Anolis sagrei: one gene and its partner. The protein of the gene in region 1 purifies or fractionates together with the protein of each later gene. This does not show direct contact. Links are inferred from orthologs where the notes say so. Each region holds a gene or a part of one and is shown on either strand. Other genes may lie near its edges.

What was found. Proteins that work in one complex are often made in the same cells at the same time.
Region 2: the proteins of IFT57 (region 1) and IFT80 purify together in Homo sapiens (affinity purification with mass spectrometry; 3 studies listed by BioGRID and IntAct, counting the BioPlex papers as one, with this or other methods). This does not show direct contact. The link is inferred for Anolis sagrei from reciprocal best matches to the Homo sapiens genes IFT57 and IFT80.

Annotation. Positions count from the first base shown.
Region 1 is NC_090023.1:46,701,544-46,709,107, reverse strand, and holds the start of IFT57 (intraflagellar transport protein 57 homolog), read left to right. Parts: upstream 1-4,469; 5' UTR 4,470-4,533; coding exon 4,534-4,697; intron 4,698-7,564. UniProt on the Homo sapiens protein: Required for the formation of cilia. Plays an indirect role in sonic hedgehog signaling, cilia being required for all activity of the hedgehog pathway.
Region 2 is NC_090023.1:246,702,220-246,709,989, reverse strand, and holds the start of IFT80 (intraflagellar transport protein 80 homolog), read left to right. Parts: upstream 1-4,717; 5' UTR 4,718-4,799; intron 4,800-4,806; exon of another isoform or gene 4,807-5,070; intron 5,071-6,758; exon of another isoform or gene 6,759-6,852; intron 6,853-7,770. Other genes in the region: SMC4 (structural maintenance of chromosomes protein 4), read right to left, coding at 1-54, 4,446-4,685.

The DNA of each region.
Region 1 (7,564 bases):
ACAACAACCATCACTTTGAATAGCACTGGTGAAATTAATGCATCTGATAGGAGTTGTAACAACAACAACAACAACAACAACAACAACATAATAATAATAATAATAATAATAATAATAATAATAATAATAGCAGCAGCAGTAGTAGTATCGTTATCGTTTTTATCCCACCTTTCTCCCAGTAATGGAACTGAAGCAGATAATAACATAGTAATAACAATGCAAAAGCATTAATAAAAGTATAAATAAGATGTAAAAACCAATTAAAAACTTGAGAAAGTTAAACATTAAAATGAATCAAAAGACTTGGGACCTCATCACACTAGAGAATGAATCCACGGGAAGAGGGAGAAAGGAGAGCAGGAAAGGAGAGAAAGAGGGAGGGAAGGTTGGCCACAGCAACATGTGGCGGGTACAGCTAGTAATATAAACATATACAAGTACCCAAAGTCAAAATTATGTAAAACTAGCTGTACCCGCCACATGTTGCTGTGGCTAACCTTCCCTCCCTCCCTCTTTCTCTTCTTTTTTGTCTACTTCCTTCCCTTCCTATTTCCTTCCTTCTCTTTTTTCTTTTTTTCTCTACCTCCTTCCTTCTCTTCTTCTTCCCTTCCTTCCCCCCTTTTTTCCCTTTCTCTTTCTCCCTGTTCTCCCTTCTCTACCTATTCTTGGACTGCAACTTCCAGCAGTCCTCCTGATCCATCTACCTACCTACCTACCTACCTATCTCTATCTAATCTATCTATCTAGTCAATTGCTGGGAGTTGCAGTCCAGGAATAGGCAATTGGAAATATGCAGGAATTAGGATGCTCTCAAAGAAATCCAAGGAGAAGAAAGCTTGCAGCTTGGAAGCAGTGCATTTGGATCATCCTCGTCTCCTAAAAGGCCTGGTCTAGGGGATGCTGGGAATTATAGTTTGGAAGAGAGTGTGGATATGCTATTGTGTGCTTTGTTTGCTGGGGGGAGTCGTTTTTGCACATGCACTGTAGTGTCTTTTTGCTTTTTTGGCTTTTAAAGTCCCTTCCATTGTGTTTTTCAGTGTTTTTATGATTGATGGTCACTTGTTGGCCTGACAGGTGTATTGTGTTGATTCGTCTAGTGGTTTTTGAGTTATGTTAATCCCACAAACGAACATTATATTTTTACTTATATAGACTAGCCGTCCCCTGCCCCACGTTGCTGTGGCCCAGTCTGGTGACCTGGCTTGGGCCCTCTCAAGTTGGTTTCTAATATATGTAATGTCTTGATGCTTGTGGGTAAACAGTATTTTTTGCTGTTTGTCAGTGTTGATGTGGAGGCTGTCTGGTTTGCCTACTCTGGAACATGCAACATAGCATTGTCCTTCTTTAGGGGTCCCTTTCAAATCTATGCTACTATATCTGTGTGTGAATCATATATATCTATCTATATGGCTGGATGGCTCTTTGTCAGGAGGGCTTTGATTACGTATTCTTGCCCTGGTGAAGGGAGTTGGACTAGATGGCCTTAAGTATTTTCTGTTGGTCATGGGGGTTCTGTGTGGGAAGTTTGGCCCAATTCTGTTGTTGGTGGGGGTCAGAATGCTCTTTGATTGTAGGTGAACTATAAATCCCAGTAACTACAACTCCCAAATGTCAAGGTCTATTAACCCCAAACTCCACCAGTGTTCACATTTGGACATATTGGTGCCAAGTTTGGTCCAGATCCATCATTGTTTGAGTCCTCAATGCTCTCTGGATGTAGGTGAACTACAACTCCCAAACTCAAGGTCAATGCCCACCAAACCCTTCTAGTGTTTTCTGTTGATCATGGGAGTCCTGTGTGCCATCATTGGTGGAGTTCAGAGTGTTCTTTGATTGTAGGCAAACTATACATCCCAGCAACTACAACTCCCAAATGACAAAATCATTTTTTTTAGTGATGGTCACTAAATGGTCACTAGTGATTGGGTTAGTAGATATCTTGTGTCCAAATTTGGTTTAAATTTGCCCAGTAGTTTTTGAATTATGTTAATCCCACAAACAAACATTACATTTTTGTTTATATAGCGTAGCCGTCCCTTCCATGCGTTGCTGTGGCCCAGTCTGTGTATATGTGTTTTGGGTGTGTTTATATATGTGTATATATTTGTGTATATATATATATATGTATATATGGTTTTGCACATGTGTTGTAATGCAATTTTTGTTTTTTGGCTTTTTAAGTCTCTTCTGCTATGTTTTTTAATGTTTTTATGAGTGATGCTCACTCATTGGCCTGATAGAATCATAGAATCATAGAATCAAAGAGTTGGAAGAGACCTCATGGGCCATCCAGTCCAACCCCCTGCCAAGAAGCAGGAATATTGCATTCAAATCACCCCTGACAAATGGCCATCCAGCCTCTGCTTAAAAGCTTCCAAAGAAGGAGCCTCCACCACACCCCGGGGCAGAGAGTTCCACTGCTGAACGGCTCTCACAGTCAGGAAGTTCTTCCTAATGTTCAGATGGAATCTCCTCTCTTGTAGTTTGAAGCCATTGTTCCGCGTCCTAGTCTCCAAGGAAGCAGAAAACAAGCTTGCTCCCTCCTCCCTATGGCTTCCTCTCACATATTTATACATGGCTATCATATCTCCTCTCAGCCTTCTCTTCTTCAGGCTAAACATGCCCAGTTCCCTGAGCCGCTCCTCATAGGGCTTGTTCTCCAGACCTTTGATCATTTTAGTCGCCCTCCTCTGGACACATTCCAGCTTGTCAATATCTCTCTTGAATTGTGGTGCCCAGAATTGGACGCAATATTCCAGATGTGGTCTAACCAAAGCAGAATAGAGGGGTAGCATTACTTCCTTAGATCTAGACACTATGCTCCTATTGATGCAGGCCAAAATCCCATTGGCTTTTTTTGCCACCACATCACATTGTTGGCTCATGTTTAACTTGTTGTCCACGAGGACTCCAAGATCTTTTTCACACGTACTGCTCTCGAGCCAGGCGTCACCCATTCTGTATCTTTGCATTTCATTTTTTCTGCCAAAGTGGAGTATCTTGCATTTGTCACTGTTGAACTTCATTTTGTTAGTTTTGGCCCATCTCTCTAATCTGTCCAGATCGTTTTGAATTCTGCTCCTGTCCTCTGGAGTATTGGCTATCCCTCCCAATTTGGTGTCGTCTGCAAACTTGATGATCATGCCTTCTAGCCCTTCATCTAAGTCATTAATAAAGATGTTGAACAGGACCGGGCCCAGGACAGAGCCCTGCGGCACTCTGCTCGTCACTTCTTTCCAAGATGAAGAGGAAGCATTAGTGAGCACTCTCTGTGTTCGTCCACTTAACCAATTACAGATCCAATTACAGATCCACCTCACCGTAGTTTTGCCTAGCCCACATTGGACTAGTTTCCTTGCCAGAAGGTCATGGGGGACCTTGTCGAAGGCCTTACTGAAATCCAGGTACGCTACATCCACGGCATTCCCCGCATCTACCCAGCTTGTAGCTCTATCGAAGAAAGAGATCAGATTAGTCTGGCATGACTTGTTTTTGATAAATCCATGTTGACTATTAGCGATGACTGCATTTGTTTCTAAGTGTTTGCAGACCGCTTCCTTAACAATCTTTTCCAGAATCTTGCCCGGTATCGACGTGAGGCTGACCGGACGGTAGTTTGGGTCATCCTTTTTTCCCTTCTTGAAGATTGGTGTATTGTATTGTGTATTGTTGTGTATAGCTGTATTGTGTCCAAATTTGATGTCAATTCGTCCAGTGGTTTTGAGTTCTGTTAATCTCACAAACGAATAATAATAAATAAATAAATAAATAAACGAACATTACATTTTTATTTATATAGATTAATAATGCAGCTTGACACTACTTTAAAATGCCATGGCTTCATGTGATGGAGTCATGGGAGTTGTAGTTTCCCCAAGGTCTTTCGCTTTCTCTGCCAAAGAGGGCTGCTGACCATGGCAGTGAAAATGACACCAAGGTGCAATAACTCTACCGCAGGCATGGGGAAACTTTGGCCTTCCAGGTGTTTTGGACTTCAACTCCCACAATTCCTAACAGCTGTTAGGCTGTTAGGAATTGTGGGAGTTGAAGTCCAAAACACCTGGAAGGCCAAAGTTTCCCCATGCCTGTTCTACAGCATGCTCAGCCATATAAACCTGAATATAAAGGCAGAAAAATCCCACAATAACTGCTTTGAACTGGGTTATTTGACTCCACACTGCCATATATTCCAGTCCAAAACAGAAAATGTGGGATTTTATTCAGCTGTGAGGAAGGGGCCTCAAATAAGCCAATTCAAAGCAGGTATTGTGGATTAGCTTCATATTCTGTGTGGAAGGGTCTTGGGGCAAAAGAGAAGAGACTCATAAATGAACTAGTTACTAAAGCATTGGCGCGTCTACGCATGCGCAGCCAGAACTCCCTTGCAAACGCTAGAAAGGCCCGCCCCCTTTCGCTGACGCTCCGTGATTGGCGGGTGAGCGAGCGTCGGCCGAGAAGGGGCGTGGCTTGTTTCCCCGGTGACGCCGCCTCCGGCCCGAGAAGCGCTGGCGGCGTTGTGTTGGCAACCGAGGGATGGTGATGGCGGCGGCGGCAGAAGAAGGCGACCCGGTCGAGCGGGGCCCTGGCGCCGTTTACCACATGTTCGTCCTGATGGAGGACTTGCTGGAGAAGCTGAAGCTGCTCAACTACGAGGAAGAAGCGGCGCTGCGGAGCCACAACATGAGGCCGCCCTCCAGGTGAGGAGGCAAACTACTCCTACACGCAAATACAGGCCTGGTTGTTTGGGGGAGGAGAAAGTTGAAGGCCCAGAAACTTGAGCTGCCAGCACTCTTTGGTAGAGAGGGTTTGAGACTTGGTAGAACTACAATTCTCAGGTTTCCATAGTATTGAGCCATAGCAGTTCAAGTAGTGTCAAACTGGATTCATTCTACACTGTAGAACAGGCATGAGCAAACTTGGGCCCTCCAGGTGTTTTGGACTCCATAGGCTGTTAGGAATTGTGGGAGTTGGAGTCCAAAACACCTGGAGGGCCCAAGTTTGCTCATGCCTGTTCTACAGTGTAGATGCACCCATAGCTTGTCACTTAATAATACTAATAATCTTTATTTATACCCCGCCACCATCTCCCCAATGGGGACTCGGGGCAGCCAAACATGAGGCCAAGCCCAAAAATACAATACAATAAAATAGAGAATGCAAATTCAGAAAATAATTACAATAGCAAAATAAAATACTAAAGCAAATTAACACAACATAAAATCAAACAGGATGGGCAGGCCAAATGGACGACATAAAATGATAAAACCCTGAGTGAAGTAGGAATAGAAAATATGTAATTGAGGGGAGCCCAAAAAGGATAAAACAGTAGGGTATGGTTGAAGGCTTTCATGGCCAGAATCACTGGGTTGTTGTAGGTTTTTTCGGGCTATATGGCCATGGTCTAGAGGCATTCTCTCCTGACGTGTCGCCTGCATCTGTGGCAAGCATCCTCAGAGGGAAAGTGCATCATAGGGGCAACAATATAGATGGGGCAAACAGAAATGGGATAAATGGTCACTCTCCAAAGCCACAAGGTTTTCAGGGTTTTCTTGAAGTGTGCTAAGGAGGGGGCTAGACCAGTCTCACCAGGTAGTGAGTTCCAAAGATGGGGAGCCACAGCAGAGATGGCTTTCTCCCTCTATCCCACAAATCTTGCCTGTGATAAAGGAAGAGGTGAAAGGAGGGTCTCCCCAGAGGATCGGAGATATCAAGCAGGTTGGTGGTAGGAGATGTGGTCACGAAGGTAGGCGGGTCCCAAACAGCTTAACCAGGCTGGCTCTCTTTGCAAAGTTTGTACTTACTTAATATGTCTTTGGAGAAAGAGAGCTGAGTTGGTACATCCAAGCTCTTGAAAAAGTTTTTGTTTGTTGACCAGGGAGGTTCTTACAGGTTGAGTATCCCTTTCTTGCTGCTTCTGACCTGAAGGACTTTTGCATTTCCCCTCCAGATTTTGGAATATTTGCATCTATGCAGTGAAATATCTTGCCGATTACACCCAGGTCTAACCATCAAATGAACTAAATTTGTTTCTTTCCTGATACGCATACCCTGGATATCATTTTATGCATCACATTTAAAAATAATAATTTTGTTTATGAAACAAGGTTAATGTGGGTCACTGTGAGTTTTCTAGGCTGTAAGGCCATGTTCCAGAAGCATTCTCTCCTGACGTTTCACCCACATCTATGGCAGGCATCCTCAGAGGTTGTGAGGTCTGTTGGAAACTAGGCAAGTAATGTTTATATATCTGTGAAATGTCCGGAGTGGGAGGAAAGAACTCTTGTCTATTTGAAGGAAGTGTGAATGTTGCAGTTCCATCACCTTGATTAGTTTCTAAGGTGGTGGGTTTGTTTTTTTTAAGTACAGCTAAATGGACAGGAATGTATAACCTTGTGGATTTCCATAAAAGCTCTGTTGACTGGCTATGTAAAACAGCATTGCATCATAAGACACATAGGATGTGTCATGGAAGGCTTTCATGGCTGGAATCACTGGGTTGCTGTGAGTTTTCCAGGCAGTATGGCCATGTTCCAGAAGCATTCTATCCTGATACCACATATATGGCAGGTATCATCAGAAGTTGTGAGGTTTGTGGGAAACTAGGTAAGTGTGGAATGTTGAGGGTGGGAGAAATAACTATTGTCTGCTTGAGGCAAATGTGAATGTTGCAGTTGGCCACCTTGATTAGCATTGAATAACCTTGCAGCTTCAAATGTTGGCTGCCTCTTTCCTGAGGGAATCCTTTGTTGGGAGGTGATTACCTGGCCCTGATTGGTTCTTATCTGGAATTCCCCTGGTTTTTGAGAGTTGTTCTTTATTTACTGTCCTGATTTTAGAGTATTTTTTAGTACTAGAAGCCAGATTTTGTTCATTTTTATGGTTGCTTCTTTTCTGTTGTAATTGTCCATATGGTTGTGGATTTCAGTGGCTTCTCTGTGTAGTCTGACATGATCGTTGTTAGAGTGGTTCAGTGTTTCTGTGTTCTCAAATAATATGCTGTGCCCAGGTTGGTTCATCAAGTGCTTTGCTATGGCTGACTTCTCTGGTTGAATTAGTTTGCAGTGCCTTTCATGTTCAAGGTTAGTGTACATTGAACTACAGGTTGTTCCCAAGTTAATAAACAAGATGGATTCTGTTGGTTTGTCCTTAAGTTGAATTTGTATGTAAGTTAGGACAGGCGCATTTTTAAGTGTAACTCCACCCCAAAATATATTTTTTGTAGCTTTGGATAGCATAGGGAAGGGTTTGTTTTGCTATCTGTACCCCTGTCATAAGTTATCATCTCTCTTTCTGTCCCTGTGATAATTGGATTTTGAAAAAAATAAGGCTTGTTGTGGAAATAAAGATTGGTAATAAAGCTTCAGTTGAGACACCTTGCCCCTATGATAACACTTTCAGGAGTGAATTTCCCGTCTGTGGGGTAGGTTTCTCTCACTTCCTGTTGTCTCGCCCTGTTCTTCACTATGAGTTATTAGTAAGTCGGATGTTTGTAACTCAGAGACTGCCTGTATTTGAAAACAAAGGTGTCACTATCCAAGCCTCACATGTGGACAGTTTTGGAGCA
Region 2 (7,770 bases), about 200 Mb from region 1:
ATTTCTTTTGCTTGGCATGATTTCTGTTGGCTGTTCAAATTCCAAACAATCAATCTATAGAAGGATTGTACCTTTGTTGCTAATGCAAACAATGAAATCCAAACACCTATGCTTAAAGGTGTATCCTTAGCATTTACTAAGTTTCAAGTCATTTTTGTAAATGACAGGCATAGGCTTTCACACTTCTAATACACAACCTCAATACTAGGATAGGATTGTACATTCCAGCTCATAATTTACAGCTGTCATACAGAGTCAACATATGAAAAAATTAAATAAACTGGCAGTAAAACAAAAATACAGGCGGTTTTCTGTATCCATGGACTCAGCCACCCACAATTTGAAAGTATTTTTTTAAAACATTCATTTTGCAAAGTTATATAAGGGGTGCCATTTTATCACAGCAGTTAATACAGTGGGACTTGAGCATCCACAGATTTTGATATTCACAGCGATCCTGGAACCAAACTCCATTGGATATTGAGGACCCTTCCTAACTATTCAGAAGGATATAAAAATATATGAAGACTCTGCTGTACACAAGTGTAACTTCTTACATTTCATGTGCACTTTTAAAAAATATAGCAATATGATTACGGGGTTGAATTAGCAGAGTGCTGCTTCCTCACTCGTTTTTTAAAATAAAATAAATAAAACCTCAAACTGCCTATGAATGTCTTAATCCAGTGACAACTGGACTGAAAGAACAGTTGTCAAGTTTTCGTGAAACTTGATCAGAAAGTTTAATACTAAACACCATACTCTGTGATATTTAACACTATGGGGGAGTTAAAAGACAAGGGATGTTTAATAGATGTAATGGGGTTTTTTTTATTTAAAAAAAGACAGATCAGATCATAAAATTTCAAGTTTTAAAAAAAGTCTCTCGATGAGTGTCGACCCCGTTTGGGAGTGGCAGTGACTAGCATGTCTTTTAAGATAACGGTGCACTTAGGGAAAGTATTGCAACTGTTCCATTTCGCTGACATTCATAGCTTTCGCACACTCTGAAAGAATTTAACTGAAGGAACCAACGTTTGCTTTTGAGGGCTAAAAGGAAGCAGGCTCCTTCAAAGGGTGTCGTTTTATGCCACAAGAATTGTGAAAAGTTAGGCGTCCTCATAAACGAGTCAGGCTTTTTTTTTTAACCTCCATAAATCCATCATCTCTTCCCCACTCCCCCCCCCCCCACTGAAAGGGGTTAGAATTTTTGCCAAAAACACTTCTGGAGTTACAGCCAGATATCACTCAGCAGCTCCGGGCCAGAAAACCCCAAACTCCACTATGAACCGAATGTCGAAGTTTTTAAAAATAAATACTTTGACGTACTGCAAGTTGCCTCCCTGAGATTTAGTGAAGACCAGGAACAGGCAAACTTTGGCCTTCCAGGTGTTTTGGACTTCAACTCCCACAATTCCTAACAGCTTACCAGCTGTTAGGAATTGTGGGAGTTGAAGTCCAAAACATCTGGAGGGCCGCAGTTTGCCCTTGTTTGGTATAAACCCATATAATGCAGCTCACTTTGAACTACATTATTTAGCAGTGGAGATCCTGCCTTGGAGATGCCCTTTTTGTCGCCTTTCCATTCCATTCTATTACTTTTAAGTTTTTTACTCTGGTTACTTTTGGGTTTATATAGTATATTTATATACTGTCTTTCTCATTGGCAAGAATTCAATGCCACCATACATATAATAAAACAATAGCTAAACACTGGCATATAATTATAAATTAAAATCACTAAAACCATATAAAACACTAAGGCAAAGCATTAAATCCTAATATAAATATTAATTCTTACAAGTTTATATTGAGGTTGTTTTTATTCACCGTTTCTGATTTGGATTTTTCCTGTTTGCTTATTATGGCATTAAGGCAGGAATGGGCAAACTTTGGTCCTTCGGGTGTTTTGGACTTCAACTCCCAGAATTCCTAACAGCTACTGGCGGTTAGGAATTGTGAGAGTTGAAGTCCAAAACATCTGGAGAGTCGAAGTTTGCCCATGCTTGCATCAATGCCATAATAGACAAACAGGAAAAATATGAGATTGATACATGCTTGCTAATGTATTGTCGCATGCTTTAATGGTTGGAATCACTGGGTAGCTGTGAGTTTTCTGGGCTGTCTGGCCATGTTCCAGAAACACTCTCTCCTGACATTTCACCCACATATATGGCAGGCACCCTCACAGGTTGTGAGGCTTGTTGAAAACATTAAGGCTTGCCTTAATAGCACAACCGGGCAGTGTTTTAAGACTGCGGAAGGAGGTTCTGTTGAACTTCTGCCGTCACTAGGGTTGGTGTCACTCTGTGTGGTAACAAATAGTGTCGACCCTTTGGACCTCCTATTGGACCACACCAGACTCCATAGAGTGTTGTAGCTAAATTACTTGAGAATGTGACAAAATCAAACACTATAAGAAAGTTCAGTCTACTATGTTAATAATAAAATATATTGGGTTGTTGTAGGTTTTTTCGGGGTGTATGGCCATGTTGTAGAGGCGTTTTCTCCTGATGTTTTGCCTGCATCTATGGCAAGCATCCGGTCACTACCTCTGATGATGCTTGCCATAGATGCAGGCGAAACATCAGGAGAGAATGCCTCTAGAACATGGCCATACAGCCCGAAAAAACCTACAACAATCAGGTGATTCCGGCCATGTAAGCCTTCGACAATACATATAATATATTGTATGTACATATAATATTGATATTATAATGTAATACAATACTACTAACAATAAATAATATAATAATTATATATGTATTACATGTAATATTACTAATATTGCATTATAGTGGTACAGTACAATATAGTAATATATAATATTTTGCTATGCTAATAATATATTGGCCATGTTCTAGAGGCGTTTTCTTCTGACGTTTCGCCTGCATCTATGACAAGCATCCTCAGAGGCTTGTCAGTTGTGAGGCTTGTTGGAAACCACCCTGAGTCCCTTAAATAAATAGGGTGGGTTACAAATAAATTATTATTTTTTTATCATTATATTACAATTGGTAATTGGTAATTTTTTATAAAAAGTAGGACCAGTTTCTCTGCTGATTAAGGCTTATTCATTTTCATTTAGGAAACAGGTGAAGACTTGGTTATGGAGATAGGCATTCGACGAGTGAGCCAACACCCTGAGATATGGATGGAGGATGATGAGCAACGATTTTAGTATGACAGGTCGCAGGTTCGAATCAGGGGAGAGTCGGGTGAGCTCCCTCTATCAGCTCCAGCTCCTCATGCGGGGACATGAGAGAAGCCTCCCACAAGGATGATAAAAACATTAAAAAAAATCATCTGGGCATCCCCTGGGCAACGTCCTTGCAGACGGCCAATTCTCTCACACCAGAAGCGACTTGCAGCTTCTCAAGAAGCTCCTGACACGACAAACAAACAAAAAAAAGTATGATGACTGACCATTATAGTTATTGTATTGTCGAAGGCTTTCATGGCTGGAATCACTAGGTTCTTGTAGGTTTTTTCGGGCTATAGGGCCATGTTCTAGAGGCATTTCTCCTGACATTTCGCCTGCATCTATGGCAAGCATCCTCAGAGGTAGTGAGGTCTGTTGGAAACATGGCCCTATAGCCCGAAAAAACCTACAAGAACCTAATTATAGTTATTGATTGTAATTGCTGTTTTAATGTTTTACTGTAATATGTATTATGATGTTTTATTGATTGTATGTGATATTATGGTTGGAAACCGGTCTGAGTCCCTCAAGAGAGGTGAGAAGGCCGGTATACAAAACTTTTAAATAAATAAATCGACGAAAAATAATATTTTCAAAAATTAGAAAAAATATTATCTCCTGTGACAACCTTAAAAAAGCATAAGGTTTCTAATTGATTGTAATTGCTGTTTTAATGTTTTACTGTAATATGTATTATGTTGTTTTATTGATTTATGTGATATTATGGTTGGAAACCGGTCTGAGTCCCTCAAGAGAGGTGAGAAGGCTGGTATACAAAACTTTTAAATAAATAAATAAATAAAACGACGAAAAATAATATTTTCAAAAATTAGTAAAAATATTATCTCTTGTGACAACCTTAAAAAAGCATAAGGTTTCTAATTTCTCCCATTAAAAAAAATAGATAGATCCATAGAGGCAAATTGTGGCGGGGAAAAAGGGAAATTAAAGAATGCCGCCTTTTTCCTTTCTTTTAAATTCAGACTCCGATGGAAAACAACACCTCATCTTGTCTATTATTATTATTAATATTGATCATAATGATCATGATTATATTTTTCCCTTCAACCCCACAGAGAAGTCATAGACCCCATTTATGGGGGAAGTTTCTCTCCTCTGATTCGAGTTCCTCCAATATCTCCAGAAGCTGAAGCAATCAGTAATGGTCACAGTATGAGCAGCGATGATTTCCAAGCGTGGGGCTGCCTTCTCCCCCGCTCCCGGGATCCCAAGGCCCGCTTACCGTCCTGCGCCTCCCTTCAGAGCTTGCTCCCTCCGCTCGCTTCCTGCCTGCAGCCTTGGCGGCTTCCACACTCGAAAATGGCGCCCAAACGGCAAACTCGTAACGAAATTCGTTAGAAATGCGCAAAGCATGCTGGGGGAAAAGGAAAAGGGGCGGGGCTTCCACGGGTTTGAAAGGAGGCGAAAGAAGAAGGGAGGGGGGAGAGGAGGGAGGAAGAAAAACCCCCTCAAGCGCCGCCATCTTGTTTTCCCGTTAGCGAGCTGAAAGGCGGCTGTAGTGGCTGTAAAAATGTTTTCCACGTCAGGAATTAGCTTTTTTTCCCTCTGTCTTATTTTGACTCGTGGAATTGAGCAGGTATTCTTATTTATTTAATTTTGCTATCAAATCTAAATCGTATGGGTTGTTTTGCCGATATAAAGACGGTTTTTGACAGGTCGGCGCTCTGACGTCACGACGGGTGTGGGAGGGGGGAAGGAGCGAAGAGTGCGATCGGAGAGGAAATCTCGCGAGAAGTCGCTATAGAGACGGAGCGGCGTCGCCAACGCAGGGCTTTGGGCGCGAGCTGAAGTCGCAACAAGGCTCCTCTTGGAGAGACTCTGGATTCCCTATTTATTGGCTTCTACAGGTAAGGGAGCTGATTTTGAGGGTCTTCAGGGCGTAGGTCTCTGCACTGACATTCCACAATGGTTTACATATCTCTTAGTTTGGGTTGTTGTAGGTTTTTTCTGGCTATATGGCCATGTTCTACAGTAGTGGTTCTCAACCTGGGGTCCACAGATGTTTTTGGCCTACAACTCCCAGAAATCCCAGCCAGTTTACCAGCTGTTAGGATTTCTGGGAGTTGAAGGCCAAAAACATCTGAGGACCCCAGGTTGAGAACCACTGTTCTAGAGGCATTCTCTCCTGACGTTTCGCCTGCATCTGTGGCAAGCATCCTCAGAGGTAGTGAGGTCTGTTGGAACTAGGAAAAAGGGTTTATATGAGGAGTTTTATTTGTTGGATCAGTGGCTTAAATCTGGGTTTAGAAGGTTGCTTTTACATATTAATATATTGTTGTAAAATAACCTGAATCACCATTAGTGAAGGAAGATAGATGCTTTTGAACTGTGGTGTTGGAGGAAAGTTCTGAGAGTGCCTTGGACTGCGAGAAGATCCAACCAGTCCATCCTCCAGGAAATAAAGCTCATTGGAGGGAAGGATACTAGAGACAAAGTTGAAGTACTTTGGCCACATCATGAGGAGACAGGAAAGCCTAGAGAAGACAATTATGCTGGGGAAAGTGGAAGGTAAAAGGAAGAGGGGCCGACCAAGGGCAAGATGGATGGATGGCATCCTAGAAGTGACTGGACTGACCTTGAAGGAGCTGGGGGTGGTGACGGCCGATAGGGAGCTCTGGCGTGGGATGGTCCATGAGGTCACCAAGAGTCGGAGACCAAGGTAGAGACATCTCCAGCTTATCCCCTGTTTGGGTATCAGCCAGCACGTCAACGACTTAAATCTAGAAATAGTTTTCTAAGATCTACAGAGACACTCGCTGGAACACCTCAGCAAGCGAGAGTCCAAAAATGGCAGGCTCAAACCCAGCACCTCAACCAATGGCTGATACCCAATGAGAGACTCACTCCTGGGCACACAGAAGACTGGGTGACTTGGAAGGCACTGAACAGACTGCGCTCTGGCACCACGAGACGCAGAGCCAACCTTCAGAAATGGGGCTACAAAGTGGAATCCTCGACATGCGAGTGTGGAGAAGAGCAAACCACTGACCACCTGCTGCAATGCACCCTGAGTCCTGCTACATGCACAATGGAGGACCTTCTTGCAGCAACACCAGAGGCACTCCAAGTGGCCAGATACTAGTCAAAGGACATTTAACCAACTACCAAACTCACAAGTTTTGTATTTTTCTATTTGTTTGCTTTGGTCTGTTAGAAATGTAATATAATGGACTAGTTGCTCTGACACGACAAATAAAATAAATAAATAAGTCGGAGACGACTGAACGAATGAACAAAAATAACATATCTGTGGAATGACCAGGGTGGGACAAAGGACTCTTGTCTGCTGGAGATAGGCGTGAATGTTTCAACTGACCACCTTGATTGGCATTTGAGGGCCTGGCAGTGCCTGGGGCAATCTTTTGTTGAGAGGTGATTAGGTGTGTCTGATTCCCCCCCCCCCCCCCTGTTGTTTTGCTGTTGTAATTTTAGAGTTTTTTAATACTGGTATCCAGATTTTGTTCATATTCATGGTTTCCTCCTTTCTGTTGAAATTGTCCACATGCTTGTGGATTTCAATGGCTTCTCTGTGTAGTCTGACATGGTGGACAAGAGGGATCCTCTCACTTCTGCAGGAGTCTACCGTATACCATGCAGCTGGCAGAGGCGGCCCGAGGTAATTTTCAACGGTAAGCAAACAGTATTTTGGCACCCCCCACCCCCCAACCAATCACTGATATATATTTTCTGTTCGTCATGGGAGTTCTGTGTGCCATATTTAGTTCAATTCCATCATTGGTGGAGTTCAGAATGCTCTTTGATTGTAGGTGAACTATACATCCCAGTAACTACAACTCACATATGTCAAGGTCTATTTTCCCCCAAGAGCGCCTCAAGAGCGCCCCTGGGCAAAATCAACTATACTGCAAATGCTTATTTTGCGTAATGGGTTGAGCTGTCCTTGAGCTGTGGACAAGCCTACATAGGGACCACCAAACGCAGCGCCCAAACACGAATCAAGGAACATGAAAGACACTGCAGACTACTTCAGCCAGAGAAGTCAGACATAGCAGAGCACCTGATGAACCAACCTGGATACAACATATTATTTGAGAATATAGAAATGCTGGACCACTCTAACTACCATCATGTTTTCTGATGGTCTTTGGTGACCCCTCTAACACCCCCTTGCGACCCCCCTCAGGGGTCCCAACCCCCAGGTTGAGAAATGGTTCCTTACTATCTATCTCAGGCATGGACCAACTTTGGCCCTCCAGGTGTTTTGGACTGCAACTCCCACAATTCCTAACAGCCCAAGCCTGGCTTAGGTAGATAGAGCTGAAAGAGAGATATATAATCCCTACAAAACACTATCTACTATTTTGAAACTGGTTGCCTTTAAAAGTAATTTTCCAAACTCTATCCAGGCAAGTTACATTGCACAGGGCTTTTAAATGTATTCAAATGGCACTTGATTCCCTGCTCTAACCCACCCCACAGAAATTTCCTTTGCTATATTAGTTTTACTCTCGGTTGATCTGCTGAATTTGCTGAATGGTTGGCGGTTCCAGTCCGGGGAATGGGGTGAGCTCCTGCTGTTAGTCCCA